Linked DNA regions of Arabidopsis thaliana. The protein of the gene in region 2 interacts with the protein of the main gene of each other region in a pairwise test. Each region holds a gene or a part of one and is shown on either strand. Other genes may lie near its edges. The genes, in order: AT4G20970, AT4G01460, AGL86 and HB21.

The links.
Region 1: the proteins of AT4G01460 (region 2) and AT4G20970 interact in binary tests that used the Arabidopsis thaliana proteins (3 or more experiments, as listed by UniProt).
Region 3: the proteins of AT4G01460 (region 2) and AGL86 interact in binary tests that used the Arabidopsis thaliana proteins (3 or more experiments, as listed by UniProt).
Region 4: the proteins of AT4G01460 (region 2) and HB21 interact in binary tests that used the Arabidopsis thaliana proteins (3 or more experiments, as listed by UniProt).

What each region holds. Positions count from the first base shown.
Region 1 is NC_003075.7:11,212,521-11,219,976, forward strand, and holds AT4G20970 (basic helix-loop-helix (bHLH) DNA-binding superfamily protein), read left to right. Parts: upstream 1-2,591; 5' UTR 2,592-2,738; coding exon 2,739-2,870; intron 2,871-2,969; coding exon 2,970-3,335; intron 3,336-3,617; coding exon 3,618-3,692; 3' UTR 3,693-3,912; downstream 3,913-7,456. Other genes in the region: PyrD (Cytidine/deoxycytidylate deaminase family protein), read left to right, coding at 22-320, 398-1,010; AT4G20980 (Eukaryotic translation initiation factor 3 subunit 7 (eIF-3)), read left to right, coding at 4,477-6,252; ACA4 (alpha carbonic anhydrase 4), read left to right, coding at 7,252-7,342, 7,440-7,456.
Region 2 is NC_003075.7:617,532-625,805, forward strand, and holds AT4G01460 (basic helix-loop-helix (bHLH) DNA-binding superfamily protein), read left to right. Parts: upstream 1-3,159; 5' UTR 3,160-3,446; exon of another isoform or gene 3,447-3,796; 5' UTR 3,797-3,802; coding exon 3,803-4,240; intron 4,241-4,341; coding exon 4,342-4,740; intron 4,741-5,055; coding exon 5,056-5,166; 3' UTR 5,167-5,468; downstream 5,469-8,274. Other genes in the region: TIP1;3 (tonoplast intrinsic protein 1;3), read right to left, coding at 7,561-8,274.
Region 3 is NC_003070.9:11,315,870-11,323,088, reverse strand, and holds AGL86 (AGAMOUS-like 86), read left to right. Parts: upstream 1-3,541; coding exon 3,542-4,561; downstream 4,562-7,219. Other genes in the region: AGL92 (AGAMOUS-like 92), read left to right, coding at 1-170, 261-397; AT1G31620 (uncharacterized protein), read right to left, coding at 5,195-5,272, 5,537-5,633, 5,827-5,920, 6,082-6,148. UniProt on the Arabidopsis thaliana protein: Probable transcription factor.
Region 4 is NC_003071.7:679,459-687,627, forward strand, and holds HB21 (homeobox protein 21), read left to right. Parts: upstream 1-4,176; 5' UTR 4,177-4,372; intron 4,373-4,830; 5' UTR 4,831-4,843; coding exon 4,844-5,776; 3' UTR 5,777-6,038; downstream 6,039-8,169. Other genes in the region: AT2G02550 (PIN domain-like family protein), read left to right, coding at 7,926-8,169. UniProt on the Arabidopsis thaliana protein: Putative transcription factor.

The DNA.
Region 1 (7,456 bases), about 11 Mb from region 2:
TTGTTGGCATTGGTATGGTAGGTGTTTGCTCTTAGAGATGCTGGAGAGTTAGCTGAGAATGCTACTGCTTATGTTAGTTTGGAACCATGTAATCATTACGGAAGAACACCGCCGTGTACAGAAGCATTGATTAAGGCTAAGGTGAGAAGAGTTGTTATTGGGATGGTTGATCCGAATCCAATTGTTTTTTCTTCGGGTATTAGTCGGTTGAAAGATGCTGGAATCGATGTTACTGTGAGTGTTGAAGAAGAGTTATGCAAGAAGATGAATGAGGGATTCATCCATCGAATGTTAACAGGGAAGCCTTTTCTCGCCCTCAGGTAAAGTTCATTGCTTCTCTTGAGTGGAGACAAATCCGAGTCAATAGATTGTTTTTAAGTTTTGAAAATCTTTGCAGGTATTCTATGTCTGTCAATGGTTGTTTGCTAGACAAGATTGGGCAAGGGGCTTCGGATAGTGGTGGATACTACTCGAAGCTATTGCAGGAATATGATGCGATAATACTTTCTTCCTCGTTATCGGATGAACTCTCGAGCATTTCTTCACAAGAAGCTATTAATGTTTCGATCCAACCTATTCAGATCATAGTAGCTAGCAATGCACAACAGTCTCATATCCTTGCTTCTTCCCACACTGTGGAAGAATCGGGTCCAAAAGTTGTAGTTTTCACCGCAAAGGAATCGGTTGCAGAATCCGGAATCAGTAGTAGCGGGGTCGAAACCGTAGTATTGGAAAAGATAAACTTGGATTCCATTTTGGATTATTGTTACAACCGTGGACTATGCAGTGTCTTGTTAGATTTGAGGGGGAACGTCAAAGACCTTGAAGTTCTTCTGAGAGATGGATTTGAGCAGAAACTATTGCAGAAAGTAATTATTGAGGTCTTGCCGGAATGGAGCACAAAAGATGAGAGACAGATCGCGTCGATGAAGTGGTTAGAATCAAAGCATGTGAAAGATTTGCAGTCTAAGCAATTAGGTGGAAGCGTTTTGCTAGAGGGCTATTTTTGATGTTTTCATGTATGAATGAATACAAGTCATGATATTTACCTTTTTTAAAGCATAGTATTATTAAGGTTTTACAGATCCTATTATTAATAGATTGATAACAGATTTTTGAGAAAATGTTGTATTTTCAAAAGAAAATATTTTCACATGTTGAGAATCTGATTCGACCTTCTATGGCCTACACATGATGGGTATCCTAAGATGAGATGTTTTTTCTTAATTGGAGTTCATAAACCAAAACCCATAAAAAAAATTAAGGATGTGTAATAGAATGTGAAGTACATTCAATGAGAACTGATTGTTGATGTCGATTGCGTTACAAATTTGACAATTCTTTTTGGATTTTGGTGGAAATGTGAACTAACTGACAACAAACATCAACCATGTTGGATTTGTTTTTGTCAAAACCGATATATCTAGAGATATTCGAAAGAAAGAACGAAATAAACACTATACAATAGTCAATTTTAAATCACTTTATGATTTAACAATCCTAAGTTCCTAACTTCAAATTTAAGATTTACAATAGCATGAATTTTAGTCTTTCTTATTGTTTCATAGCATTATTGTATTAAAAAATTACTCTACAGTTACACCATCTCTCTTTATAATGGTTGTTTCAATTGAGTTAATCATTTACTATTAATCTGAAAATTTGTAGTATGAATGTTATTGTTGGTACACAAATTGGTGATGGAACAAAAGATTAAGAGGATATCTTTTATGTCGACAATGGTCGAGTGGTTCAACAAAATCCACGCAATCGCCTGAGCGAAAAAGTTGACCATACTCAGCCCCACCACTCTCCACTTCATAACCTTTTTCTTTTATCCTTCTTCCTTTTGCATTTATACAAGTATTTTCCAATGACGGAATGCAGAAAGAAAAAAATTTGTTAAGCAAATGTCATAAAATATAAAAATATCTATAGCAAGTGACTGTAACTACGATTAACTCAACCGATTGGAGAATTGAGTAACTTATATCGAACTCAAGTTCGAACATACGCTATATATGAGAGTCAAAATTATTGATCAAAATATGCAATGTAATGGTCCAAAATTCAAAATATTACCAAAAAGAAATTCTATAAGTTAATGTTGGAATTATGATAATAAAAAAATACTAATTGATAGATATGAAACAATTTAAGACGATCCATTTGAGACCCGGGAAATAGATTAGTTTATCAAGTATTAATTTATAAAGATTTTACTTTGGACTATTTGTTCAAAAAACTACGTGATGATGAGTTTTCTATGCAAAATCAATTACCGATATGTGGATGATTCTTGTCTTTTGTAGTAATGTTGGTTATCTTTCACTCTTAATGAGAGGTTTAATATCATGTGAGAGTTAACGAGCTTCTTATTTGAGTCAATTGTAGATAAATAGCTTAACATATGCCCTTATAAACTAGCGTTGATTCTCAATCCAATTTGAAACTATTAACAGAACCATTAAAAACTATATATGAACACATAAAATATATAATTGACCATAACGACGAGTCAAGATATATATTTAAAGAACTTACTTTTTTCCACTTTGTTTTGCTTTTTTTTTTTTTAGTCTTTGGTACATATATATTACAAACCCTTTTCCAGTAAATAGTTAGCACAAACTAATTATCAGATGTCACTTAAACCAACCTCCTTCTTTATATAAGCTTGGTTAACATTGAGTTTGTTATCATGGTCTATGTGAAACAATTCAGGAATAAAAAAAGAAATGGAGCCGAGCCATTCAAACACAGGTCAATCAAGATCTGTAGATCGCAAAACGGTTGAGAAAAATAGAAGGATGCAAATGAAGTCTCTCTACTCAGAACTCATCTCTCTTCTTCCTCATCATTCTTCTACGGTTTCTTCCTCTTGGCCCTCTTATATGCTTATATAATCTAAGATTCCATGTATGGGTGATGATCTTAATATTCTAAACTCTTTTATTATTTCATGTTAGGAGCCTTTAACACTACCTGATCAGCTAGATGAAGCTGCAAACTACATCAAGAAGCTACAAGTGAACGTGGAGAAAAAGAGAGAAAGGAAAAGGAACCTCGTTGCGACTACAACTTTGGAGAAACTGAATTCCGTCGGATCTTCATCGGTTTCGTCGAGCGTCGATGTCTCCGTGCCAAGAAAGCTGCCAAAAATCGAGATTCAAGAAACTGGTTCCATTTTTCACATCTTTCTTGTGACAAGCTTGGAACACAAGTTTATGTTTTGTGAGATCATTCGTGTTCTCACCGAGGAATTAGGAGCTGAGATCACTCATGCTGGATACTCCATTGTTGATGATGCTGTCTTCCACACCCTTCACTGCAAGGTATAATTCGGAAAGTAAAACATTTTTTGCAATGGAATTTAAGAATCAAACTTTGCTACTACTACTATGTTAAAACTAGGTCTAATCCAGCTTGTATACACATTGGGAATGAGTTCAAAGTTAGGGAATGATATTTATACTTGTTGTTTTTATATTTAATAAAACTTGCACTCAAAAACGCTAAGAAGCTGCATGTTCCCATCTGATTGTTAAGTTTCTACTAGCTGATTCCTATTAATATCCATATGTTAGTAAACTAAATTTAATTTATATTTTATATAGGTGGAAGAACACGATTATGGAGCTAGGAGTCAAATTCCTGAAAGACTGGAGAAGATTGTGAACAGTGTTCACTAATATTGATTCCTTGTTCCTTTATTAAAAAAAAAAGTTCTATGTTTTTGTTCCTTTTCTTGAATTATTTTTGGTGTTAGCTAGATTCCTTTTCTTGAATTGTATCATGTGCTGTGAGAGTGATGTTTCATTTGTAAGCATAATATATACTTTTCTCTACTTAAAGCTGTGAAATATATTTTGTTTTTTGGTATCAACAAAGCTGTGAAATATATGAAACTTAGGATGATGATTTTCAAGAACGAAACCAAAAAAAAAAGTTTCTTAGAATTAATACATGAACGAGCGAAATAACTTCACCTTTTTTCAATGTGTTATACTTGCCCAAGCATTTGTAATCTAGTGATAGGAGAAACTTTGGTGATAGGTGAAACTCTCAGATCCGAGTTTGAATATCCCGTGGTATTAGTTAGAAAACATTTAAATTCGGGACAGATAGTGTTGTGGTCCTTCGGGAAAAGTTTACTTCGGAGCACTTTGGTGCGTTTCTATCGAAGCTGACCAGATCAGCAAATAGAGTTTATCAAAAAAAAATGTGTTATACTATTTCAAATTGATGAATTTGAATTCTAAATTTTTATTTTATTTTATTTTTTTCTCAAAGTCAGAAATGAAAAACATGATTTAAGACTTCAAGTGTTATATATGGGTTTTGAAGAATACTAAAGCCCATGAGCCCAAACATTAACAAAAATGTTTTTTTCTTGTACCTTCTCTCTTCAACGTAGACTAAAGAATTAGGGTTTCCGCTTTCCACACACACAGCTGCAACACTATCTTCTCAGAAATGGTAACCGAAGCTTTCGAATTCGTCGCCGTTCCTTTCAATTCCGATGGCTGGGGACCTCCAGACGCTTCCGACGTTTCCTCCTCCGCCTCTCCCACCAGCGTCGCCGCCGCTAATCTTCTCCCGAACGTTCCTTTCGCTTCCTTCTCCCGTTCCGATAAGCTCGGCCGTGTAGCTGATTGGACTCGCAATCTCTCTAATCCATCCGCTCGTCCTAACACCGGATCCAAATCAGATCCGTCTGCAGTTTTCGATTTCTCCGCTTTCGCAATCGACGAAGGCTTCGGTCTCGCTTCCTCCGGTGGTAATCCCGACGAAGACGCAGCTTTCCGTCTCGTCGACGGTAAACCTCCGCCGCGTCCTAAATTCGGACCTAAATGGCGTTTCAATCCTCACCACAATCGGAATCAGCTTCCTCAACGGCGAGATGAAGAAGTTGAAGCTAAGAAGCGTGATGCTGAGAAGGAACGAGCTCGTCGTGATCGTCTCTACAATAACAACCGTAACAACATCCATCACCAACGCCGTGAAGCTGCCGCTTTCAAATCATCCGTTGATATTCAGCCGGAGTGGAACATGCTTGAGCAGATCCCTTTCTCAACATTCTCGAAGCTCTCGTACACAGTTCAAGAACCAGAAGATCTTCTTCTCTGTGGTGGCCTTGAGTACTACAACCGCCTTTTCGATCGCATAACGCCGAAAAACGAACGCAGACTCGAGCGTTTCAAGAACAGGAACTTCTTCAAAGTCACTACTAGTGATGATCCTGTGATTAGGCGTTTAGCTAAGGAAGACAAAGCTACTGTTTTCGCTACTGATGCTATATTAGCTGCTCTTATGTGTGCTCCTAGATCTGTTTACTCTTGGGATATTGTTATTCAACGTGTTGGTAACAAACTGTTCTTTGACAAGAGAGATGGATCACAGCTTGATTTGTTGTCTGTGCATGAGACATCTCAAGAGCCATTGCCTGAGTCTAAAGATGATATCAATTCTGCTCATTCTCTAGGTGTGGAAGCTGCTTACATCAATCAGAACTTTTCGCAGCAGGTTTTGGTTAGAGATGGAAAGAAGGAAACTTTTGATGAAGCCAATCCATTTGCTAATGAAGGTGAAGAGATTGCTTCTGTTGCTTATAGGTATAGAAGGTGGAAGCTTGATGATAATATGCATCTTGTTGCGAGGTGTGAGTTACAGAGTGTTGCTGATCTCAACAACCAAAGGTCGTTTCTTACTTTGAATGCTCTTAACGAGTTTGATCCTAAGTACTCTGGTGTTGATTGGAGACAGAAGCTTGAAACTCAGAGAGGTGCGGTTTTAGCTACAGAATTGAAGAACAATGGAAATAAGTTGGCTAAATGGACTGCACAAGCTTTATTGGCTAATGCTGATATGATGAAGATTGGTTTTGTCTCTAGGGTTCATCCTCGTGATCATTTCAACCATGTTATATTATCTGTTTTGGGGTATAAGCCGAAGGATTTCGCTGGACAGATTAATCTCAACACTTCTAACATGTGGGGGATTGTGAAATCCATAGTTGATCTGTGTATGAAACTAAGCGAAGGGAAGTATGTTCTTGTGAAGGATCCATCGAAGCCTCAAGTGAGGATTTATGAGGTTCCACCTGATGCTTTCGAGAATGATTACGTTGAGGAACCGTTGCCTGAAGATGAACAGGTTCAGCCAACTGAGGAAAACACAGAGGGAGCAGAAGCAAGTGTAGCTGCAACTAAAGAAACCGAGGAGAAGAAAGCTGATGATGCTCAAGCTTGATGGTTATAAAGTCAGGTAGTTCATACAAACAACTCTCAAATTCAAAAGGCGGTTACCATAATATGCTTGTTGGATTTGATTGAACACTTGTTTAGGATCGTGAATTTATACTTAGAACCCAAGAAAATGCAGAAAGTTGGTTCTTACTTCTTAGCCATAGAATCTTGTTCTTATTCATCTGAATTTCATTCTTATAGTTTAGAAACTGGTGACTTAGATTAATTGATGATCTTTATTATAAGTATAAACGTCGTATGAAGCATCGTCATTCACAATTTGGATACTATATTCTTCAGGTCCAAAGTCTACACCTTTCGTTTCTGGGTTCTTTTGAGAGTTGAAGCTTCAATCAAACAACAACAATGGAGGTTCCTTTTTTAATTATCTTGTCCTTTTTCAAATTTTTGTGGTACTGCTGTAATTTTAAGTCAGAAATGAGATTGTAGAACACTATCTTCGTGACATCTTTTGGAAAATCATTACGGATTGTTTACAGAACAGAAATCTTTTTACTATGACTCTTATAGCCACCAAATTTTCTTGAATCATTTTGCATTAGTTTTATAAAATTTGGTATTTTATGGTTCCAACTTTTGTTTGTTTCGGTCGTTTGGCGTATTCTCTTATGAGCTTGATCCTATTGTCCTGGTCGGTTTTTATCTCTGTTAAACTGACATAGATCCTATTGTCCTGGTCGGTTTTAATCTCTGTTAAACCGACATACTTCACATATATTTATTATTATAAACCCCAAATTAGAAAACTCAACCAAAATGGTTTTTACTAAGCATTCAGTTTTTTTTTTTTTTTTTTCATGTTTCCAATAGTAACATCAGATTATTAACTAATAATCGTAGCAACGGCAAAAACCATATCAGAACAGCAGAACAAACATCCCCCAAAAGCCTCCTCTTAAATAGGTTGTCTCTAAACCCTTCAATCTCCAAAACATAATAACATACTCCATTAAGCAAAATCTAATCTCGAAAGAAGAGAAACATGGATACCAACGCAAAAACAATTTTCTTCATGGCTATGTGTTTCATCTATCTATCTTTCCCTAATATTTCACACGCTCATTCTGAAGTCGGTATGATTACTACATCTCTATTGCATTCTAGTAAAATTAATCTTTTGTATCAAAATTCAGATTTAATGATTTGTTATTAACTTTAATCTGAAAACAGACGACGAAACTCCATTT
Region 2 (8,274 bases):
ATACACTCTGTGTTTTTTTATAATTATGATATTACTTTTTTTGAAATAAAATTGAGAAACAAAACTGTGAAGGGGACGGGGAATCAAGCATTTGACCTCATCGACAAATCGACATAAGGATTTGAGTTTTCACCTTTTGTTGTTCCAACTTCTTTTCGTTTTAGTTGTCCAAAACGGCCTAGTTTCATAATATGTTAGATAAAATACATGGTGTTATATGGTCAAATATTGTGGAAGACTAGCTACAGTAGAAACTCTATAAATTAATACTCGATAAATTAATAAACACGATAAATTAATAAATTTTACCGGTCCCAAGTCGGGCCAATGTAAAAAGTAACCAAAATCGATAAGATAATAAGATAATATTTTTTTTGAAATCCCTATATAAAATTATAGTCCCAATAATATTATAAATTAATAATCATAGATCTTAAGTATATATTTTAAGACTAATTAATTTTTATATGAAATTTTTGTTCAAAGTACAATTACAACTCTTTTTAAAATATAACTGGTATGATCTCTGTTGTACTCACATAACTATTTGCGTATTTGATCTGTCATAGTTGATTTTGTAAAATCTTTTATTTGAAAAAGCATTGCTAAGATTTGTGTAAATAAAAATTGGATTAAACTTCATGTTTACGTTTACGTTCACGTTAATGTCGTGGATATACAAACACAATATATTTTGAAAAATAAATTTAAAAAGTCAAAGAAAAATAAAAAACTAACATAATTATATATACAAACAACAAAGCATATAGAAAATTAATTAAAAACATTTTAAAAAGAATATAGTATTGTATTTTACATAAATATTTTTATAAATTAATATTTATTAACTTATACGATAAATTAATAAATATTAATTTATAGGATAAATTAATATCACTATAAATTAATAAAATTTCATGGTCCCAACATTATTAATTTATAGAGTTTCTACTGTATATGGTTGAGTGACTTATATGATAATCTTGCAATTTTTTTAATGTGGAGAGTAGATTTACAAAAATATTAGATTTTAAAATTTGTTTTGCAATTTTCTCTTTACTAATCTTAGGTCCAACCAAACCATTTCAAGTCATTTTCTTGTTATCTGTAATACATTATATATCTAAAAACTTCAAAATTAATTTGATTAGTTTGCTTAACTAACAGAAAATATTGAATGATACATTTATTACAGATGAAATAATGAATTTTTATTTGTGGCCAATTGCATAATGGATGTGAGATTGTATAGACATATTTAACTTGTCAACTCTACATGCCTTCTGGAAACAAGTCAAATCGAATAAAGTAAACTGAGAGACAATTCATGGAATTGATCTAAACACAAGTGGGTAAACCCATTACCATTTTCCTCGCTCGTCTAAATTCCTATATGTTCTCATTTACTAGTATCGTATCTTCTTTTTTTTTTCTTAAACAAACTAGTACCGTATCTTCGGTTATATGGATGGTACATAGAACTATAAATTGTAAAATCATATTCTACATACTTACTTTGACGATAAATAAGTGCTATTTCGGGTCTAATGTTACACGTAGGGAACTACCTAAGAAAATGTGGTTCGCGTGTCTAATGCAAACTGATTTCCATTCGAACCTATAATGGCTGAAGAAATAGCTATCCACATATGATATGTTGATAATGATATATATTATAGATATTCTTGTGTTTAGCTAAGTAATATATAAAAATTTACTCCACTTTTTTCTCAATTGGTATGTGACATGCTCTTATTGGGTGGATAATGTACTAGACAAAACTTGTAATTTTTTTTTTCTTTATCTATAATAATATAAAAACATTTTGTGTGTTATATTTTCATACATCTATTTTCCTTTCTTCATAATTCGTTTGGCCTATTTTTCAAATGTAGTCTATTCAATTTTATTAGGTTGCATGTGAGTTTTGGACTCACTTATGCATGGTACAAAATCCAAGTTCTTAAAAGACTTTGAGGTAGAATAAAAATCTGTAGTTTGGGAGAAGGAAACAAAAATAAAAAGGTAAATTTCTTTTGGGGGAGAGTACTGTTGTTTGCCCTACAGACCAAGGCACTGAAATCGAGTTGGTATTATTAGGATACTTAACGTTTGGCACCCATGGCCTTGGCCTTGGCCATGTGCATTGTTCGTCCTCTTCTTAAAGGGTACTATTGTCATTCTTAATTTTTATAGCACTAAGTCAACACACCATATTGGGAAATACTTAAAGACCCATAATGTACTTGTTCTAGCTCGATTAAAAGAGAAAAAACAAAGTAAATGAAAAGTTGAAGTAAAAGACATGAAAACCCTTTTTGGATTGGAGAAAACTAATTCTCTAAAGATAGAAAAGAAAAAGAGGAAGAAGCAAGAGAGGCTTGGTCTTCTTTTCTGATCCTGAAACTGTCTTAATAAGAGTGAGAAGTACTGTTCATGGAAGACGTGTCCCCACCAAACAAAACTGTCTTCACTGCCCTCTTCAATAATACTTTTACGGGACCCCTCCTAGTCCCAACGCACAATCTCATTGTGTCTATACAGAGTTATATTATATATATACACTTAATTTCTAATAGTTGTAGCAAAACATATGGTAAGAAAATGAAATAAATACGGTTAATATATTATTATTTTTTGGTCAAAACGGTTAATATATATGTAACACCAATGAAGCCAACATATCCAAACACAGAAGAAGATTTTTGGATGATGATTTAAACATGTATATATGTTAGTGTGAATCTTCAAAGTTTCTGTTTAAGTAGAATTATTTTTATAGATAAAGTATTTTATATGTTTTTTGGTCGAGCCAAATATCGAATTCCTTCATCAAAGTCTATCGAATTCCTTATATTTACCAAAGTAAAATTCGTTAAGAACAAAAATCAAAGAGTATTGTCCCGAAAGAAAATTATTTTGAAGGCCCAAAGAGGACAAGGTCATAAATATTTGATCTGGAGGACAGGACACCCACGTATATTTTTGTCCAAAATTTAGGTTAAAAAAAGAAGAAGAAAGGTTATCTGTTTCACGGATTAAATATTTAATTAATAATACATACATATATTACTGTATGTGTGCGTGTAAAATACTAAATATCGACGACTATATATATAACTAGATAATTTAGCTATAGTATAGTATTTTTATTTTTCACCCTTGGTTTTTTTATACATATATGCACCGAACCTCTTCTTCTTCTCTTCCTCGTCTTCTCTCCTTTTATATATGTGGAAAACTGCATTTATTAAGAACAGTTTAGAAAGTGTCAACCCCTAAAGGAATGTTTTTAGTTTAGAGGAAAGAGAGAGAAGAAGAAGCAGCAGCAGAAGTTGTTAATTTGAAGACTATTTGAGGAAAGACACCTATATCTAAATACTCAAAGTTACAAAAATATTACTTCAGAAAACAGTTCCATTAGAGAGACTCATAAAGCTTCTCATGTAAGCCTCTCTTGTAATTTATTCTCATATACAGAATACTGTTTTGTGCATTTACTCTTCTTCTTCCTCCTCCTTTCATATGATTAACATTCAATGCAAAATTCTTGTAAATTCATTTTACAATAGCTTATCCAAATTCTGCTACTTTTATTATTGTTTCCTCTCGCTGCGACATTCTTTATTTCTCATCATTTAATGTTCTCTCCTCGTACATCCTCTTTGTTCTGTCTTAAGAATTCACCTACCAAACCATTTATTTCTCATACCCACTTTAAGATTTAGTAGATTTTTGTTTTCTTGTCAAAATGGTATCCTAAAACTAATCTCTCTTGTTTTTTTCTTTGTTGAAGCTAATTATGAGTGGATTGATGAGTTTTGGTGAATTAGAAGACCAATTTGGTCAGATTTCAGACACTACTATGGAAGAGAAGATACCATTTCTGCAAATGCTTCAATGCATAGAACACCCTTTTACAACAACAGAACCAAATCAGTTTCTCCAATCACTTCTCCAGATCCAAACCCTAGAATCAAAGAGCTGTCTCACCCTTGAAACAAACATCAAAAGAGATCCGGGTCAAACAGATGACCCGGAAAAGGATCCAAGAACAGAAAACGGAGCAGTAACGGTCAAAGAAAAAAGAAAACGGAAACGTACAAGAGCTCCAAAGAACAAAGACGAAGTTGAAAACCAAAGGATGACTCACATTGCCGTCGAACGTAATCGAAGACGACAAATGAACGAACACTTAAACTCTCTCCGATCTCTCATGCCTCCTTCGTTTCTTCAACGGGTAACAAAATGTTTTAAGGGTTCATTAAACAAGAACGTAATTTTTTTTTCTTTTCAAGAACGTAATTTAGCTTTAACAAGAAAACGTTTTTGTTTCTCTAGGGTGACCAAGCTTCGATTGTAGGAGGGGCAATAGATTTCATCAAGGAACTAGAGCAACTCTTGCAATCTCTAGAAGCTGAGAAACGAAAGGATGGAACTGATGAAACTCCTAAAACGGCGTCGTGTTCTTCATCTTCGTCTCTTGCATGCACTAACTCTTCTATTTCTAGCGTGTCTACGACGTCGGAAAATGGATTTACGGCGAGATTCGGCGGTGGAGATACGACAGAAGTGGAGGCTACGGTGATACAGAACCATGTGAGCTTAAAAGTTCGGTGTAAGAGAGGAAAACGACAGATCTTAAAAGCTATTGTCTCGATTGAAGAACTAAAGCTTGCGATTCTACATCTCACTATCTCTTCTTCCTTTGACTTTGTCATCTACTCTTTCAATCTCAAGGTAATTTTCTTAATCATCTCTTAAACTATCAGTTTCAATTTCCACTAGTTTAAGCATTATTATAAATAGTCTTATGTAACTAGCAATTTTTGACTTTTTGAGGAAAATTAAGGAATCTTCATTTTGAAATGTTTGGTACTTAAGAAAATTAAAATGCATGAGAAACCATAATAGAAAATATCTACAATTATGTGTGTGTGTGTGTATTTTTTTCCTTCACTCTAAGCTTAGAAAATTTTAGTTTAATTTTTTAGTAAGTTGCTAATTTTTGTTTAGTTTTGGAGAGATGAGAAATGAATGGTGTTGTGCATGCAGATGGAAGATGGTTGTAAATTAGGATCAGCAGATGAGATAGCGACAGCCGTTCATCAGATCTTCGAGCAAATCAACGGTGAAGTCATGTGGTCAAATCTTAGTCGAACTTAGTTGACTTTTGACTCCTAGTAACGTGTGTAAACTTTAGGTTACAAAGAAAAGGGACGTGATATAAATAAGAAAAACCAAAGAGGTGAAATTTTGGGAGTTTTAATTATTATCTTATACTTTTTGGATTTTAGATTAGTAGCAAACTCGCAGTGTTCTACGATGACATTATTATTGGTCACATGAAGGTTTAGGTTATTATTGCCTGTAATTTTTGAATATAAACTAACCTATGAGTTCAGTTTGACCCCGAAAACGAAAAAAGTTAACCATGAGTAATATTTACTTCCATTTATAAATGTTTCCCACTTAGTAATAATGTTAAGAAATTGACTTTAGACGTCCGTATTAGAATGGTTACGGAAATGGAAACAAATACAATTAAAGATGAAACATCATTATTACTAAGAAGAAGTCGCCTTCACACTTCGCAACCTCTTTTTATATTTTGCATATACGTTTTATTAATACTCTCATATCGTCCATGCGTCTGACAAATCTACGCTTGATAAAAAAGGTACAGCTACAACATAAATTTAAAGGTATTCTTTTGCATCAACGTCTACTGACTAAAAATACTTGTTTATTGTATAATGACTCTAGTTTTACTTTTAACAACGAAGAGAAAGGTGGCAGAATTTTTTTAATATTCCAATGGTAAAAAAGCATCGTAAAAGGAAGCCTATGGTCAGAGTCTCATTGACACATCGGTCTCGCTTGTAATACGTAAAACTCAGCCTATCTCACTCACATTACTTTTTTCGAAATTTTAATTCATATATCGGTTTCCGCATATATTTAACTTTTGTATTCAAAGCTTATTAAAAAATCGGGAAAAATCTAAACATCATAAGCAAAACAAATCCGATCAATATGTTTAAATTCTGTAATACAAGAACAATATAAACAAAAACATATTATTCAGAAAGCAATGATACATTATTTGAATATTGTGTGTAAGAGTGAACGACAAGATCATACGTCAGAGATAATCGACTGGTAACAACTCTGATCTTTTCCAACTTTTGGTCAAAGTCAAACCATTTGGTCATTTTTACAGTAAATTATTGAGTAATATGTCATTTACTCATTTCTTTTGAGGAAAACTCTTTTTTTATCAGAAAACAAAAACAAATTACTCATTTTCGTTTTGGGCTCAAGACAAAAGTCCTTCTTTTAAAAATATTAGCCCAGTTAATCTATACAGGCCCATTAAAGCCCATACTAAAAGAGCCGAGCGTTCCACCGCGTGAGATTGACGTGCGTGTATTTACGCGTTAATGTTTCGCGTGGTATTTGTTTATTTGAATAAAGATTCCTTAGCTTTATTCTTAGTAGGTCCTCATGAGTCATATTCGTGAAATTGAGGTTTTTGAACGAACTCGGGGCTTTGATTCGAAGTCGAAAGTTTTGATTTTATATTGTGATTTCTAAGTCGAAGGATGTGTTACTTTGGTGTTTTTTTTATTTGATTTTTTAAAAAGAATATTTGATAGTTGTAAAGAGTTTTTGTATATGTTTAATTTTTAAATAGAGAAATGGTCAACGTAGCACAATTAACTTGTAATAGAGAATTGCTCAACGTAGCACAATTAGTGTAGATCTTTAAAATTAAATCATCGAGCGAATTTTAGAATTCTCCCAAATAGTTGTTATCTGCAAATGTCATGTTATTTACAATTCTTGATACATAAAATAGTTAGTTTTCCATGTGGTAAAAACAATAAAACATACGACCAATCGACCATTGACATAACTCTTCTAAATCCACGATGAGTTATATATATAAACTTATAATACTAATCACAATTATTGTTATTGAGGAATATACATCGTGAGTATCATCAAATCTCGTCATCGCACTTTGCTTGAACGTGCAAGAAACTTGGAAACGCGTTTAGAGCAAACACCGGGACACCGAAGTACCGTTTATTGAATTCCTTTTTTTGTGTGTGTTGTTCAATACTTAAATCGACTAAAAAATCATTAGCCTAAGATTCACATATCAGAACGTGCTTGGGCCAAAAATAAAATAAAGAACGTGCATGGACCAACCAACCATATATATATCTTCATAGTATTATTGATAATGGCGGGTCCCATTATGTTTGATATATTTTCAGTTTTCACCATGGAAGCATAATCTCAAGAATATGCCTCCAATAAAATTCGTTTGTACATGAATTCCTTAAGTATGGCAGAATACTACGTATACCCCACATAATAGTTTAATCTAATTTAAATTAGTGTAAATTTTCCACCAATCAATTTATTAATTACTTAAAACAACAAAAGTAGTGAAAAACAATTAAAAACACATATCTCCCTCAAAATACCCATAGTAGGCTACAACTGTAGATTTCTTGTTTCACAAGACACAAGAAAAAAAAACCTAACTTAGAAATCATTAGAAGGAAGTGGTTCATGTCCATTACTACCGATAAAGATAGTATCATAAACAATAGCTGCAATGGCTGCACCGATAAAAGGACCAACCCAATAGACCCAATGATTCGTCCAAATCCAGCTAACCACGGCCGGACCAAATGAAACCGCGGGGTTCATCGATGCACCGTCGAAAGCACCACCAACCAGAATGTTAGCTCCAACGATTAACCCAATCGCCAAAGGCGCAATGATTCCAATATCACCTTTCTTGGGATCCACGGCAGTAGCGTAAACCGTGTAAACTAACCCAAACGTCATCACAATCTCGAAAACGACTGCGTTCCAGGGCGTCACTCCATATGATAGCGAAAACGCAGCCGTTTCCATCCCGCCAGTGCTTACCTTGAGCAACAAGCAAGCTACGACTGCTCCGAGTAATTGAGCGATCCAATAAAGAATAGCTCTCAACAACGTTATGTTTCCACCAATAAAAGCCCCAAATGTAACCGCCGGGTTCACATGACCACCTGAAACGTTAGCTCCAACGGAAACCGCAACGAACAACGCAAACGCATGAGACAAAGACGCGGCCACAAGACCGGCAGGTGTGGCTGGACCATCTCCAGTTAGTTTTCCATAAGCCATTCCAGAGCCTTGACCCGCGAAAACGAATATAACCATCGAGAAAAACTCCGCGAAAGCTGCTCTAATCGCATCGGGACG
Region 3 (7,219 bases), on a different chromosome or scaffold from region 2:
GTATGAGCCGGTTCAGCCCTATGTCCCTACTGGTTTTAGTGATCATTTTCAGTTTGAGAATATGAATTTGAATCAAAATCAACAGGAGCCGGTTCAATACCAAGCTCCTGTTGATTTTAATCATCAGATTCAACAAGGAAACTATGATATGAATTTGAACCAGAATATGAGTTTGGATCCAAATCAGTATCCGTTTCAAAATGATCCATTCATGAATATGTTGACAGAATATCCTTATGAATAAGCGGGTTATGTTGGAGAGCATGCACACATCCCTTTCATGGACGGAAACTACTACAACTACCACCAGCCACCAACCGTTGGTCTTACTTCCACCGGTCACATGCCTTCCACCACCACCACCACCACCAACAACAACAACAACAACAATGTGTGATGTGTTTCAGTAGTGTGCATTTTGTGTTTTGTTTGTTTTAAAAGACCAGTATTTAATTATGCTTTTCCTTTTCAATTAGTTGTTGTAAGAGTTGAAGGTTTTACCTTTAAGTCAGTTCTATTTCAATGAAGTCATTTCTGTTTGGTCACAAATTATTTTTTACGAGCTTTTTGTTCTTAAAATGCATAACTAAATAGATCTGCCAAAATCAGATAGGATTTTGTTTCCAAAAAACATCAATACTTTTCAAGCCTTCATTATGGTTAAATACTTATATGATTAAATATTTTGAAGAGAGTTCAGGACGGAAGTTGTATATATAGGAGGAGAAGTACCATTGAGTATATATACGAGGAGAACCATTGTTGAAATTGGTCGCAGTGAATCACTCTTGAACCGAAAAGAAGCGCTTAGAAATCAGATCAAATCCAAACACTCTAATCTTCCTCACTCGTTTCTTAATGCCACAAAGATCCAATATGGCAATGTAAACATAAACAGAACTAATTACATCTTTCTTAGTTTATGTTCTGAAACATGTCATACTTTACAATACAATTATTTGTCGATATTAAATCCTTCTTCTTTGTTTTCAGGACATTGGTCATGCATGGGCTTCTTGAAGCATATTCCCGAACACTTGCGAATCTTGCTTTCTGGATTCTTTCAAGAATGGGAGAAATCTTGAAAGAGTTATAACTCCCTTGCACCACCGAGTAGCATCCTTAGCTCATGTGACCCTAAAGAGCACCCCAAAGGCCTTTGCTTTGGTCCCGTGTAAGGCCTCTCCGATGGGACAGAGACTGGTTTTCTATTTTTTGTTTGCAGTTGCTAAGGCAGGTAATTCAGTGAATACAACTCCAAGTAGAAGCAGTAGACTGTGGTGTTTAAGTAAAGTGCCTTCTGATACTTCTCCTTGATTTAGAGGGTCTTCCTAGTTCGATGCGTGCCACCTGAAGCTTCTCCTTTAAAAACCGTTTTAAAGACTGTATTAAGATTGAATATGGTTAAATTGATTTGGCTCTTCTGAAAATTTTAAATAAAAAGCTGAGATATTAAGAAAATAAGGTATATTTTAGGATATGCATATATTATGGGCCTAAGGTAATTTGAAATTAACACAAGCCTTAATGTATCTCTATCTGTACCTATCACCTACTAAGTATTCATTAAGATTTTTTTTTAGAAAAATGGCTTCCTAGCGTTCTATTTCAACTATAGGCTTCACTTCGTGTATCATCCCAACACTGACGAGGTTTTTTGGGTTGGATTCAAGTGTGTACTTCAACTAAGAACATATTTTTGGTGACCAGTTATGCTTACTACAACGTTCAGATAAGATCGACTATACCTTGAATTGTTTTAGTATGTGTAAATTAAATACATAGATTAAACGGATCGTGATTACCAAAAAAAGTTCTTATGTATATATATGGACCTTATTTAAGATATCTATAGTTAAACTTTTGAACATGACCTATAACTATAAGTAGCTTAAGTCGCCCCTAACTAAACATATAAATAAACATGAAAATTAGTGTTTTATGGCAGATGAAAGTTATTTATTATCTGAGCCAAAAATATACGGTGAGCTTGAAATAAAATTTAGCATTTAAAGAGAATGGAAATTAAACTACTACTGGATTGAATTATTTACCATTCTCTCATGTAATATCTTCTACTCTATAGTATTTTTATAACTATTTGAAAACATTTAATCAAAAATCAATAAATATGCTATTTATTTTAGAGAAATTTCTACATTTTGTAAATGTAATTGATAAGAAGAGAACCAGTCAAACAAAGTCTAATTAACGATGTGCATTCTTGTTTTTCTTATTTTTTGGTTATTGTTAGACCTCCATTTTTTTTGGATTCTCTCTCATTATAATCATACCACACAAAAAAAGTATGAGAGAAATAAGAGAAAGGTTCTTAAATAAGAACTTTTGGTATATTAACTTGAACTTTGGGTATATTACACTTGTCTTTTTTTAATTGGTTCATTTTTTGCTTTTAAACCAAAAATTAATATATAATTAAACTATATTTAAATATTAATACTTTAAAGTTTAGATATTTCTTTGGGTATGTAAAAACAACTGGAAGTTTTCTATACGTAGTCTAAAATCTTTAATTTCCCTATTTACAGCTTATAATTAGCTGGCAATGCAATGAAATATTCTAACCCAATAAAAGAAAAAGTATTCTCCAAAAGGTATAATATATGCATGATTTAACAAATTATCTCTAAACTAATTTATTACTGAGCCAAAAGAGGAAAGAAATCCATCTATTAATGTATAAAACAGTTATTTTATCCAAATTTCCTTTTAATTAGAATCAACTTAATGATTAAAAAAAATCAGGTGGACCTGCAGGCCATGACAAATGTTCTTTTAATATATTTATTAAAAAAGTTCATATAACCAAATCTGAGATTTAAAAAAATATATTTTTCTCTAATACTCTACTATTATATATTTTCATTTGTTATTATTGTAAGTATCAAATATTTTTACTAAATTAATTAATATAAATTTTAATGATATTTTATTATCTTATTATATTGGTTTACAAACTTCTTGGTATGTTCTCCTTTAATGTATATAGGTAGTTTAAAGATTTTCTTAGAAATAGAACACATATTTCGTGAGATTCATGTTACATTGTTTTCAAAAACTTTCGTGCTTTCTAAATATTTCGTAAGACTCACGTTATATTGTTTTCATTTTTTTTCTATAAATAAACAACTCTTTTGAGCTTGTATATATTCATGATTTTACATGTAAATTGAAGATGGAGTACTCTATTTAAAAAGAAGAAAAAAAAACACTTCAAACTATTACTAAATTTCATAGTTTATAAACAAAACTTTAAATTACTCTTAAAAGAAAAGTGAGAGTAATATAGGAAGATAAACTATTCTTAGTAAAAAGAAAAGAAAATCTATTCTTAGACATAGCTTTAATTAGTGGCCTCGTCAATTAATGAGACAGTAAACACAAAACAAATCTAATGAGTCCAGCAACGTGAAAAGCCACGTACTGTGTAAAAGCACAATTTTCATTTCTATATAAACAAGACAGTCTTGGGCCAAGAAAGTAAACAAAACACACACCAAAGAAAAGAAAAACAAAGATAATGAGGTCGAAAATTAAGTTATCACTCATAGCTAATAAGACCTCAAGGAGAACCACATTCAGGAAGAGGAAGGGAGGGATAACGAACAAACTCCATGAGCTAACAACTCTCTGCGGCGTCAAAGCATGTGCGGTAATCTCCAGTCCGTACGAGAATCCAGTGGTGTGGCCGTCAACCGAAGGTGTTCAAGAGGCGGTTTCCATGTTTATGGAGAGGCCGGCGACAGAACAATCCAAGCTGATGATGAGTCATGAGACCTACTTGCAGGACAAAATTACCAAAGAAACAAAGAAACTGGAGAGTCTACGTCGTGAAAACCGAGAATCTCAGCTTAGGCAATTTATGTTTGATTGTGTTGAAGGTAAGATGAGTGAGCATCAGTATGGTGCAAGGGACCTTCAAGATTTAAGTCTTTATATTGATCACTATATCAATCAGCTTAATTCAAGTGTCATGCTCCTTACAAACAATGGTGCGTCTTCTTCTTCCTTTCCTCCTCCGCTTCATACTTCAGTTGCGGGTGCGGGTGCGGGTGCGGGTGCTGCTCCTCTTGTTGTTGCGGGTGCGGGTGCGGCTCCTCTTGCTGTTGCGGGGGCGGGTGCGAGTCCTCTTGCTGTTGCGGGTGTGGGTGCGGCTCCTCTTGCTGTTGCGGGTGCCGGTCCTCCTATGGCTCAGAATCAGTATGAGCCGATTCAGCCCTATATCCCTACTGCTTTTAGTGATAATATTCAATACCAAGCTCCTGTGGATTTTAATCATCAGATCCAACATGGAATCTATGATAATCTCAGTTTGGATCCAAATCATCAGTATCCGTTTCAAGATGATCCATTCATGGAGATGTTGATGGAATATCCTTATGAACAAGTGGGTTATGCTGCAGAGCATGCACACATCCCTTTCATGAACGGAAACTACTACAACTACCACCAACCACCAACCGTTGGTCTTACTACCACCGGTCACATGCCTTCCAACAACGCCACCACCACCACCACCACCAACACCACCGTTGTGTGATGTGTTTCAGTAGTTTGCATTTGTGTTTTGTCCATTTCAAAAGACCAATCTCTAATAATGTCTTTTCTTTTCAGTTAATTGTTGTAAGAGTTGAAGGTTTTACCTTTAAGTCAGTTATATTTTTATGTATTGGGTAATGTATTTCTGCGCCGTAGAGCCGGATATTTCAATTATATTTGAAGAAGTTTGGTCATAAATTTGTTTTTACTTTGTTTTTTGTTCTTAAAATACATAACTAAATAGATCTGCTAAAATCAAATATATTTTGTTTCATAGAAAATCTTACTTTGGATATATTATTCGCAAAAACATCAATACTCTGTATATCTCTTTCTCAATCCATAATTTATTTACTTCCCACACCTACCTATATAGCGAGCAAATGAACACACTAAAGAAGTAAAAACATGAACATAAATAATGAACACACGTCTCAGCAAACCCAAAAGATTAACAATACAAACTGTAGCTTGTTTAGTGTTGAAAATTTGAAAAATCAACATGATAAAATAATGAAACTAAAATAAAAGGCAAGTTTTCAGTTATCTCTTACATTAGGATCCTACGAATCAAGTTAAATTAATTCTAGGATCCTTAAAAAAGCCAACACTCTGGACGTGTGGTTATGTGCGATCAGAACAAGAGATTCACGGGAGCCGGAGGTTCTTTCGAATCCATAAGAGCGCCTAAACTCTTCACTGTCTCCAAATCCTAGGAGCTTTAACTCTTCTTATGTTTTTTGTTTCAACATTGTAGTAGAAAATGTAGAAGGGTCGAAAATTGAGTGACAACCTCTTTGGGGCAATAATGATCTCACCAGCCTTGTTGGTGTCTGGAAATGACATTTTAGCACACTCAACATCATCCCAAAAAGAGGAGGGAAACACACATGTTTGCTTTGACCATTCATGTTTCTCGACGTCTTCTAGTATCCATAAATCGAAACTATGGAAACCGATCATAATGGTCGCTCACAATGGAAGCAAGCTTCCCTTTGTATTCAATGAATACTGCTTCACTTCCCCATTGCACAAAACCCTTAAGTGCATTGATAAAACTCAGTTTCTCAGTTCTAAAATGAAAACAAACCAAAACTGTCTCTTTAGTTTTGGTTAAGAAAGCAGCTTAGTAGAGAAAACCGTTGATGAATACACTCGCTTGATGACCCGCCCTATAAGGTAAAGGGGTATCTTTAATGTGTATCCATACTTCACCATCTCCCAATGTTCATAACTTGTTCTCCAGATGACCACTAGATATCATACCTTTTTCTCTTCAAGGATAATGCTTTGTGTTGATCATCAATAGGATCGTATCCCACGATCAAAGCAGTGGTAGCAGGTAATTTAACCGCGATTGCTTCGAGGACATAGAGAAGAAGTAATCAATGAACCCTCGGCTTCGGATGATGGATTGCCACATCTTTGACACGAATCAAAACTTCATAAGAGACTTGGCAGGCAATCTAGCTAGTACAACCATATTTAGATCAAGAGGGAGCGAATCTAAGTCTAACCTACTTGTGTTTGTGTCTTTCTCATCTTCCTCCCCGTTATCGTTATTACAATCTCGCTCGTTACATTTCATGGCGCCTCCTAAACAAACCCTAGATTTGATTCGGCAAATGACTTTAGTTTTTGTGGCTCTTCATTACAGACTTCGCAGGCAATCTAGATACTGTAGCGATATCGGACCTAACTTACTTCGGCTGCTACAAAATCTGTACGTCCTTGCGTTTCATGGAGATTCCTGACGAAGCCCTAGGCCTAGCTATTCCTTTCTCAAATTTCTTTTTTTTTTCTTTTAATATATTAATCAGCCCATGTGAATATCAAATGGGCCTAATGAGGCCCATAACTCAAGTTAGAACTGTCAAATGGTCATCTAACCATGGGCTAAACCCAATCCATAATGTTCGTAACTAAAACGGGTCATATGGTCTAAAGACCAATTTTGTCCACGGGTATAATGGGCTAACCCATACGGTCTATGGTTGGCCCATCAATTTTCTCAACACATCAGTTTTCTTCTCTTCTCTCTCACACGTCGACTTTGTTCTCTCTCGGCGACGAAGCTCTCTCTCTCTCTCTCTCTCGCTTCGACCTCTCTTTCGACTCCTACTCCGGTTAGTTCTATTAGAATATGAATCCGTTGATTAGAATAAGTTCTCTCTGAAATATGCGTTCATATGTTAGTCTCATCGATTTTGTTCTCTAAGTCCTGATGCAATTTCATCGCTTTGTTCTTTGCTATTCCTTAATTGTGATTCTGCATATGCTTTCTTTGATTTCAGCTTGTGGGTTTGTCCAAATTTCACTTATTTGCTATTCTTTGTTATTCTCTCTCTCCCTTCCTTTGATGCCAACCATGTGTTTGATGAAATGCCTCACAGAATATGTAGAGTTTGGTTTTGGTAGAGCTTGTAATTAATTGTGTAGAGCTTGGTGTTTATGTATGGAGCTAAGTGTGTGTTCGCTAATGTTTATGAACATTTCTTATAGCTAATTTCCACAATTAAGTAATCGTTTCTCACCACAATCCGTCACTTGTTTGACCAAACGTTGGAAATCAATTAAGTGATGACTAATTCAATAATACTCTTATTGTTGTGGGAATGAAAAAGACTAACACGAAATTGTTGCTGCCACTACTACTGAA
Region 4 (8,169 bases), on a different chromosome or scaffold from region 2:
AATAGATAATTCTAGTAATAAATCCATCATATGTATTGCCTTCTTTTTTGGTCACAAAAAATAAAAGCTAGTCAACAAAAAAGATCATATTGCTTTTTTGTTATTTTGATCAAAACCGTATAAATAAGGAAGCGACGGTAAACGTTTTTATTCCCAAATAAAACATGAAAATGATTGTAAGGCTCTCTGCAATAGCAATAGTGGTTACTCTGCTCCTAGCATCTCACCTTGCCCATGCTAGAACCGAGCCTTTTCTTCTTTCACCAAATTCAAAATTCCAAGCCAATTCAAAACCAATTCATCGATTACTAGCTTCTCTAACCGACGCGAAGATATCCGTGAACCAAATTCAAACTCCTTGTTTTCCATGGTACAAGCATTGCCCTCCAGTCCTATCCCCATCCCCATAAACGCATATGTTTTCTGTTTAAAATAGTATTCAATGTTTCAATAAAAAAAATATAATACATGACAAAAGCTAATTTTGTTGTGTAATTGTGTATTTACGCTATGTTATAATAATTTTCGTTTTCACATTTAACTCTGGTTTCACAAGATATATCATTTTATATTGTCAATGCGAAACACAACTTATTTCAACCCAAACAAATATGCGCTTTTATATACCAATTGGTGTATTATACATAAACTATTCGAGTGTAACTAAAACCTATCTTGACTCAAAAGACTTGAGTCAACATATTAGTATGTGTTAATTCAGAAACCACGTATAGTACTATAATAAAGTGACATTATTTTACTTAGCCAATATTGAATTCTTAAAACGATGTCGATGTTATGAAGTCGATATCGTTTCAGTATAACAACGACGTTTTACTGAAATACGACACGACCGAGGTAGCATTAGCAACTACCAACATGTTTACTCACACCGTTTGGAATAATGTAGGTTTCGGCTACATTCTAATATTTTATGTAGTTTAGTTTTAGGAAAAATTGTTTATGTTTGGAATAATATGAGTCGTTTTTCACTGTCAGTGCAACCAAAGTTTATGTTTTGTTTTGTAAAAAAAGAAGAAAAAAAAAAGTTTATATTTTGTTTGATATTTTACTTCTATAATAATTAGAGAGATAAAATAAAGTACTTTATTAATAAGAGAAATGGTATAAATTTTAATAGTTTTCGTAGTATGTATTAGTTTTTTTAAAAAAGATATATAAAATAAAACGTAAAGACTATATATAAATTTATTTTTCTTGATTAAAGTGTTTAATATTTTAGTTTTTACTTTGACCATGATGGAAAACATCATTGTCTACAAATATCGTAAGCCTCAAAATCCAAACCAATATTAATTCAAAATATTTTATTTAAAAAAAAAAATACCATATTCAGTTTATAAGAAAAATGGTTATGATTAGCTAGAACTTCAAAAGAATCAAACATCCATCCCAAACCAATCGAAATCCCAAAGAGCAAAACCATTTTTCATCCTACACTCATCAACAATGATACGTACGTAATTATGCGATATATAATTAGAACTTTTCATAAGGATAATATACTATCTATTTATTTATTTCGATTGAAATATATGAACTTCTTACATGCCGAAACAGAAATTAAATTTGATCCATGTAAAAAACGGATAATATTATAGGGAGAGTTGTACCATAAAATCTTGTTCGTGAAAACTGTTTATCTCAATCACGTAAGCGGCATATAATTAAATATCGTAGATTATATTTTCAAAAAATTATATAACTAACGACACAGGAAAAAATATATATTAAATAATTTACCATTTTCATTAATTATGTTTTTTCTTAATAATTGAATAATTTGAAAAATATTCTTGTGGTCCCTTTTATTTTATTTGTTTCTTATACCTCGAATACAAGTCGCTTTTTTTTTTACATCACCTCGAATAAAAGTCACTTGACGTGTGAATAAATACATAGTATGGACGACGGGAAATTAAATTAAATTATATGGAGTATGCATTTATTTGCCATTATTCTGATGATATCGTAAACCGTAAGGTACAAAGAAAATAAAAGAGTTGTTTTTGAAAAAGCTGCTACAATGGAAGGAATTTTACCAGAGTCCAGAAGAATAGACAACACATAGAAACAAGAAGAAAACAAAAGAAAAAGATAAAAGTATCTCAATTTTTGTTTTTTTTGTATTATAAAATAAAAGCCCACAAGGTCACAAGGAAATTATAAACTAAGAAAGTGAACTGCTCTTATTTCTTAATTGTGTTTTGTGTAATTAAGACTTGAATGGTCATTAGCAATTGCCGCAATTTGGTAGTTAGTGCTTCTTTTACGAATCAATAAAAATGAGATTAGTCCCCACTCACCTAGAGGAACAACCGCCACCGTAGTTGAGACAACAACTTGTCGTGTTTGTTAGAACTTTTCTAAAACGAATTAAGTTTGTCGATTAGAACAATTATACCTAAAAGGTCAAAACATGAAAATGAAACATATTTTTTGACCGTCAAAAAGAAAAATATATCTTAAAACATTAGTCATCAAGAAGCAGAAATAATAATCTTAAGCAAGAAAGTAATAGTTTTCAGGTAAAATCTTAATATGTATTGGTGATTTGATGTTTTCATTTGTTTGATTTTAAAGAAATATAAAAATAGGGATTAGTGATAATTAAGTCGAAAATGTAAAGCAATAAAAAAAATCTATTTACCAAGACTTACTATATATACTTTTAGGCCAAAATTTACAATTCTGCCACCCAAGAGCAATTGTTCATATATCATCTATAACATAGAGTCTAATTTTACAACACTGATAGCCCGCAATATAAACCAAAAACTTTATATTATCAAAACTTAATAATAATCGAGATTTTGGTCTTAACAAAACTCGTAACAAACTTTGGTTTATGAATATATTTCAGTAACTATATTATCAGTTGATTATGATATTTTTATTTTATTGTTTATCTTTTGATTCTTTCTCACAATTGTATGTTCCAGAAAACGGATGATCATGGTATATAAGTGCACATATTTGGTAGGACCAATAATTAATAGTAACTTCAAGTAAATCATATAAATTCACAAGCATGACATGACAACCTCTTGAAGCTAATATCATACGTGACATAATTAATGGCGAAGGCCGAAGGGTAAAGGAACAATATGTGTTTTTAATTAACTAGCTTAACAAGTTAAGGCTTTATAGTAATGTTTAGAACATTCTTTCGTTTTGAATTAGTATCAATCTCACACTTTTAAATTTTAAGATGGTAAAAAATATTATTATTATACCTTACTACCAAATTTTTAGTTATTTAATGTTTTGGAACAAAGATGAGATATTGTTATTTATTATGACTTTCTCTTTGTTATCTACTTCAATACTCTTCCCACTAATTATCTGACACGTTTCTACACTGTTGTAAATTTGATGTCTGATAGTGCAAGACAAGCAATCTCCCATAATCCTAATTCTTGGCTCTCTTCTTTTTTTTCTTTCCCTTTACTGATAATTTGTTTTGGGTGAATATGAAAATCTTAGAGCATCCACATTACTCATACCTTTGTAGATATCTCAAAAATAAATTAAAATTAAATTAAAGACAGCTTCTATTTTAGAGATCTAAAATGTCTTTCTAAAGACACTATTACACAATTAAAAACATTAAATTATCTTTTTCTATTATTTTTAATTTAAAGACACCCTCAAAGTATCACCAATGAAGAATGAGGATGGTCTTATATTCAATATAACCTTCAATTCATCAATGACTGCGATATATCAATATTATAAAATGACATTTCATGAGTAAAAATGTATATAAAAATGAATAACTACTTATCTTATAAAGTCTAATTTAGTGATTGTTGTTGTTTCTTCAAATTTTAAATTAAATGATGTAGCTTTTTTTGTTTCAAATAATTTAGCTACACTTTTTCTTTTCCATATTTTGATCACAATTGTATTGTTTTTGTCTATATATTATCACCCAAATTTTAATTTGGTAGAGACATTATTGAATAAAATATCCTATATATGAATTAATAAAATGAAAACTAGGTGTAATTAATTAATGATCTTTTTTCTCTTTGTCTGTAGAAAAGTGAGGAAATAATTAGCTATGGCTATGGCTCTCATGTGTCTTTCTCATGCTTTATTGGCTTTCACTACTAATACTCTAAGCCCTTAGTTTAAGAAGTGCCTTCACATCCAAAACCCACCTGCAATTCTCTCTTTCTCTCTCTCTCTCTCTCTCTCTTTATCTTCTTTCTTCAAAGTCTATCACTTTATAAAACCCTAATTAAATCTCTAAACTCCTTAGCCTCTCTCTATTCTCAGAACCTTGTGGTTATTCTCAAGAAAGGTTTCATTTTGAGATAAAGTTTGCTGCTCTTTCTGGTTGTGGGTATGTGCTCTTAACTTCTTCAGTCAATTTTTTCATTTGGTTTAAATAGAACAATTTTGTTTTGGTGATACAATAAAGATTGTCTTCTTGATTATCATCAACCTCTCACTTGGAATAAGACCTTTCTTTCTCAAGTGGGTTTGTCAGCTTTTGCTTAAGCAGGCTTGCAATAAGTTTTTCTTTTCTTTTGTACTTTTTCGTTTTGTTCTCTATCTTTATGGACCTTCTAAAATTAGGGTTTTTCTTTTTGTTTGGAGGAAATAATTAAAAAAATGGGGTTAATGAGTAGTGAAGAAAGCTCTTGCCTTTTTGTAGCTTAATCATTTGAATTTTACTCATTAATTATCTTTACTCTTGTTTTTTTCTTCCTAACTAGTTTCTTTGTCCCCAAACCAAGAAACACTTTGCAAAACCCAAAAAAAGTTTTAAATATAAAATCGTGTTTATTTCCTTGGCAGATAGATCAAAAGAATGGAGATTGCAAGTCAAGAAGATCCTATTCCAATAAACACTAGTTATGGTAATAGTGGAGGTGGGCATGGGAACATGAACCATCATCATCATGCCAATTCTGCACCATCATCTCTCAACATTACTACTTCAAACCCACTACTAGTCTCCTCAAATAGTAATGGTCTTGGTAAAAATCATGATCATTCTCATCATCATCATGTGGGTTACAACATCATGGTTACCAACATCAAGAAAGAGAAGCCTGTGGTGATAAAGTACAAGGAATGCCTAAAGAACCATGCAGCTACCATGGGAGGCAATGCCATTGATGGTTGTGGAGAGTTTATGCCAAGTGGTGAAGAAGGTTCCATTGAAGCTCTCACTTGCTCAGTTTGCAACTGCCATAGAAACTTTCATAGAAGAGAAACCGAAGGTGAAGAGAAAACATTCTTTTCCCCTTACCTCAACCACCACCAACCACCTCCGCAGCAGAGAAAACTCATGTTCCACCACAAGATGATCAAATCACCATTACCACAACAAATGATAATGCCTATTGGCGTTACAACCGCTGGATCCAACTCAGAGTCAGAGGATCTTATGGAGGAAGAAGGCGGAGGAAGCTTGACATTCCGGCAGCCACCACCACCACCATCACCGTATAGTTACGGACATAATCAGAAGAAAAGGTTTAGGACAAAGTTTACACAAGAGCAAAAGGAGAAGATGATTAGTTTTGCGGAAAGAGTTGGTTGGAAGATTCAGAGACAAGAGGAATCTGTTGTTCAACAGCTTTGTCAAGAGATTGGAATTAGGAGAAGAGTTCTTAAAGTTTGGATGCACAACAACAAACAAAATCTCTCCAAGAAGAGCAACAACGTTAGTAACAATGTCGACCTTTCTGCTGGTAATAACGACATTACTGAAAATCTTGCTTCTACTAATCCTTAGTTAAGTTCAGATTGTTGTTATATAACTTCACTCATGTGATTACTTAATTAATTAAGTACTTTCTTATCGTATGGTTAATGTTTTCTCCTTTCTCGGCTAATCATTGTTTAGGTAGCTTTATAAACATGTGTTTTATTAGGGTACCTATAATCTTGGTTTTGGAGCGTGTAAGATAAGTTTTTGATGTTTTCTTATAATGTATGTTTAAGAAAATTCTTGGCGATTTAACCAATGCATTGGGATGTGCACTGTTATTATTTACTTCGAATCATTAGACTTTGTAGTTCGTGATATCATTTGTCACGTTTACTATTTATGTGAGTAGCAGAATTTTAGATTCTCATAGGTAACTCTTTTTGTTTTTGTTTTTTGAATTCTGATATTTATTAAAGGAAGTGTATCATACAAAGTCCATAACAAAATTAATACTAGTTACCTAAATCTTACGCCGGTCTTGTTTTGATTTGTCTTGTTTCTTTTTTGTCGTTGTTTTGATTTAACAAAATATTTTTTTTTGATTTGTCTTGTTTTTTAAACATCCGGTCTTGCTTTGATTCTATTATTTTGTTTTCTAGTTTGAAAAAATATTTTCATTCTCATGATCGAAAAATAAATTGCACGGAAAACAAAGAGAGCAATAAATTACGATTTCTATCAATGGAGAGAGTTGGAGATTGTCCTGGCGAGTGTAAGTCAAGTCCTAATATGTATGACGTATTAGGTTGAGTAAATGTTTGGTTGGTGTACTAGTAAACTCATTTATGGACCTTTTCTTTTATTTGAACAATTATGTGCATTTACTTTATGTGACTTCTTGGCATATTGCAAGTCGTGTAATGTGATATGGGATAAAATATGTCATGCATCAAAATGGAGTTACGATTTTAAGATGTTGTTGTTCCTTGTGATATCACATGTTTCATTTATTGTAATATTAAATGTAACATTTTCACTTGTTGTTTTATAGTAGTATAATTTTTTATGCCTATAGTTTATCACTCGATTTCAGTAAAACATCAATAATGAATTGCGTATTGCGTATTTCGTGGAAGATAAAAATTCAATTAACTGACATAGTTTATTGATTGCCATTACTATTATTTTGTTATTGAAACGTCATTTTATTCAAATATATTTTTATCTCCTTCAAGATTGACATAGCATTATAGCACTATAACAATATAAAATATATATATATATATATATATATATATAAATTATCCAACTCTTTACATATGATCGATACATCATCACTTTAACATTTATCATGTGTCTATTAAATAATTAATGTAAACTTTTCAATTTTTAATTTATAAGTTAATGATAAATTTATTATTTAATTTTATATATGATTTTATTTTACATATTTACTGTACTATTACTAAATTTATTTAAATATTACATGATTTTTCAATAAATTTTTCAATAAATTTATTTAAATATTTTATTTTAATAGTTTTTTCATACTCGAAGATTTTTTTGTAATCCAAACTCAAAGTATGAGTGTATAATAGTCGTGAATTAGTTAATGATTTGAGTAGTTTATTTTTTAAATTGATATTTATATAATAAATCATCGAGGGTACATAATACGTACGGAGCTCCGATCCATCATCAAATTCTTATGTTTCTAATTACGAACACTACCCTCTGTTAAATTGGTTTAAGATGAACGTTGTTTATGAATGATGTGTATGATGCATTATTGAGAATGTTGTTAGAAAAAAAATATTTTAATACTGAAATAATTTTTTATTGCATGAGTGAATGATTAGATAAATAAAAATTATATTTAAATTAAACAATACAAAAGAATCCGAAAAAACTGCGACGTATCGAGAGTGATCACCTAATATATATTATAGTTAATAGAAAAACTTCCAGAAAATATAATAGAAATACAGTTGAACCAAACCGAACCGGGTTAGGTCCGTACGATGAAATCGGCCAGCAAAATCAAACAAAATTATGGAAATATATAACAATAATAATATAGAAAAATGTAAACTAGGAAAAAATGAAAATAGCAGAAATAATGGAAAGGAATAGCTAACGGGAAATTTTGACTCTTTTCATCACACTATATATATTGACACACACTCCTTTTTGTTATTGCTTCAAAAAGAAAAAAAAAGAATAATTGTAAGCTATGGGCTTCACAAGTTTGTACTCTCTCTATGGAAAATCCAAGGTTCTGAAATCAATTAGTTTTTCCGCTCTCAACAGTAAAACTCTCGCAATTGACGCTTCAATGTGGTTATACAGAGGTGCTTTAAATAATGCCCGGAAATTCTTGGAGGAACCAACTACACCCAACTCTGAACATATAATGTTTGTCATCAAAAAAGTCAAACAATTCATCGACCGTAATGTGAATCCTATTCTTGTTTTCG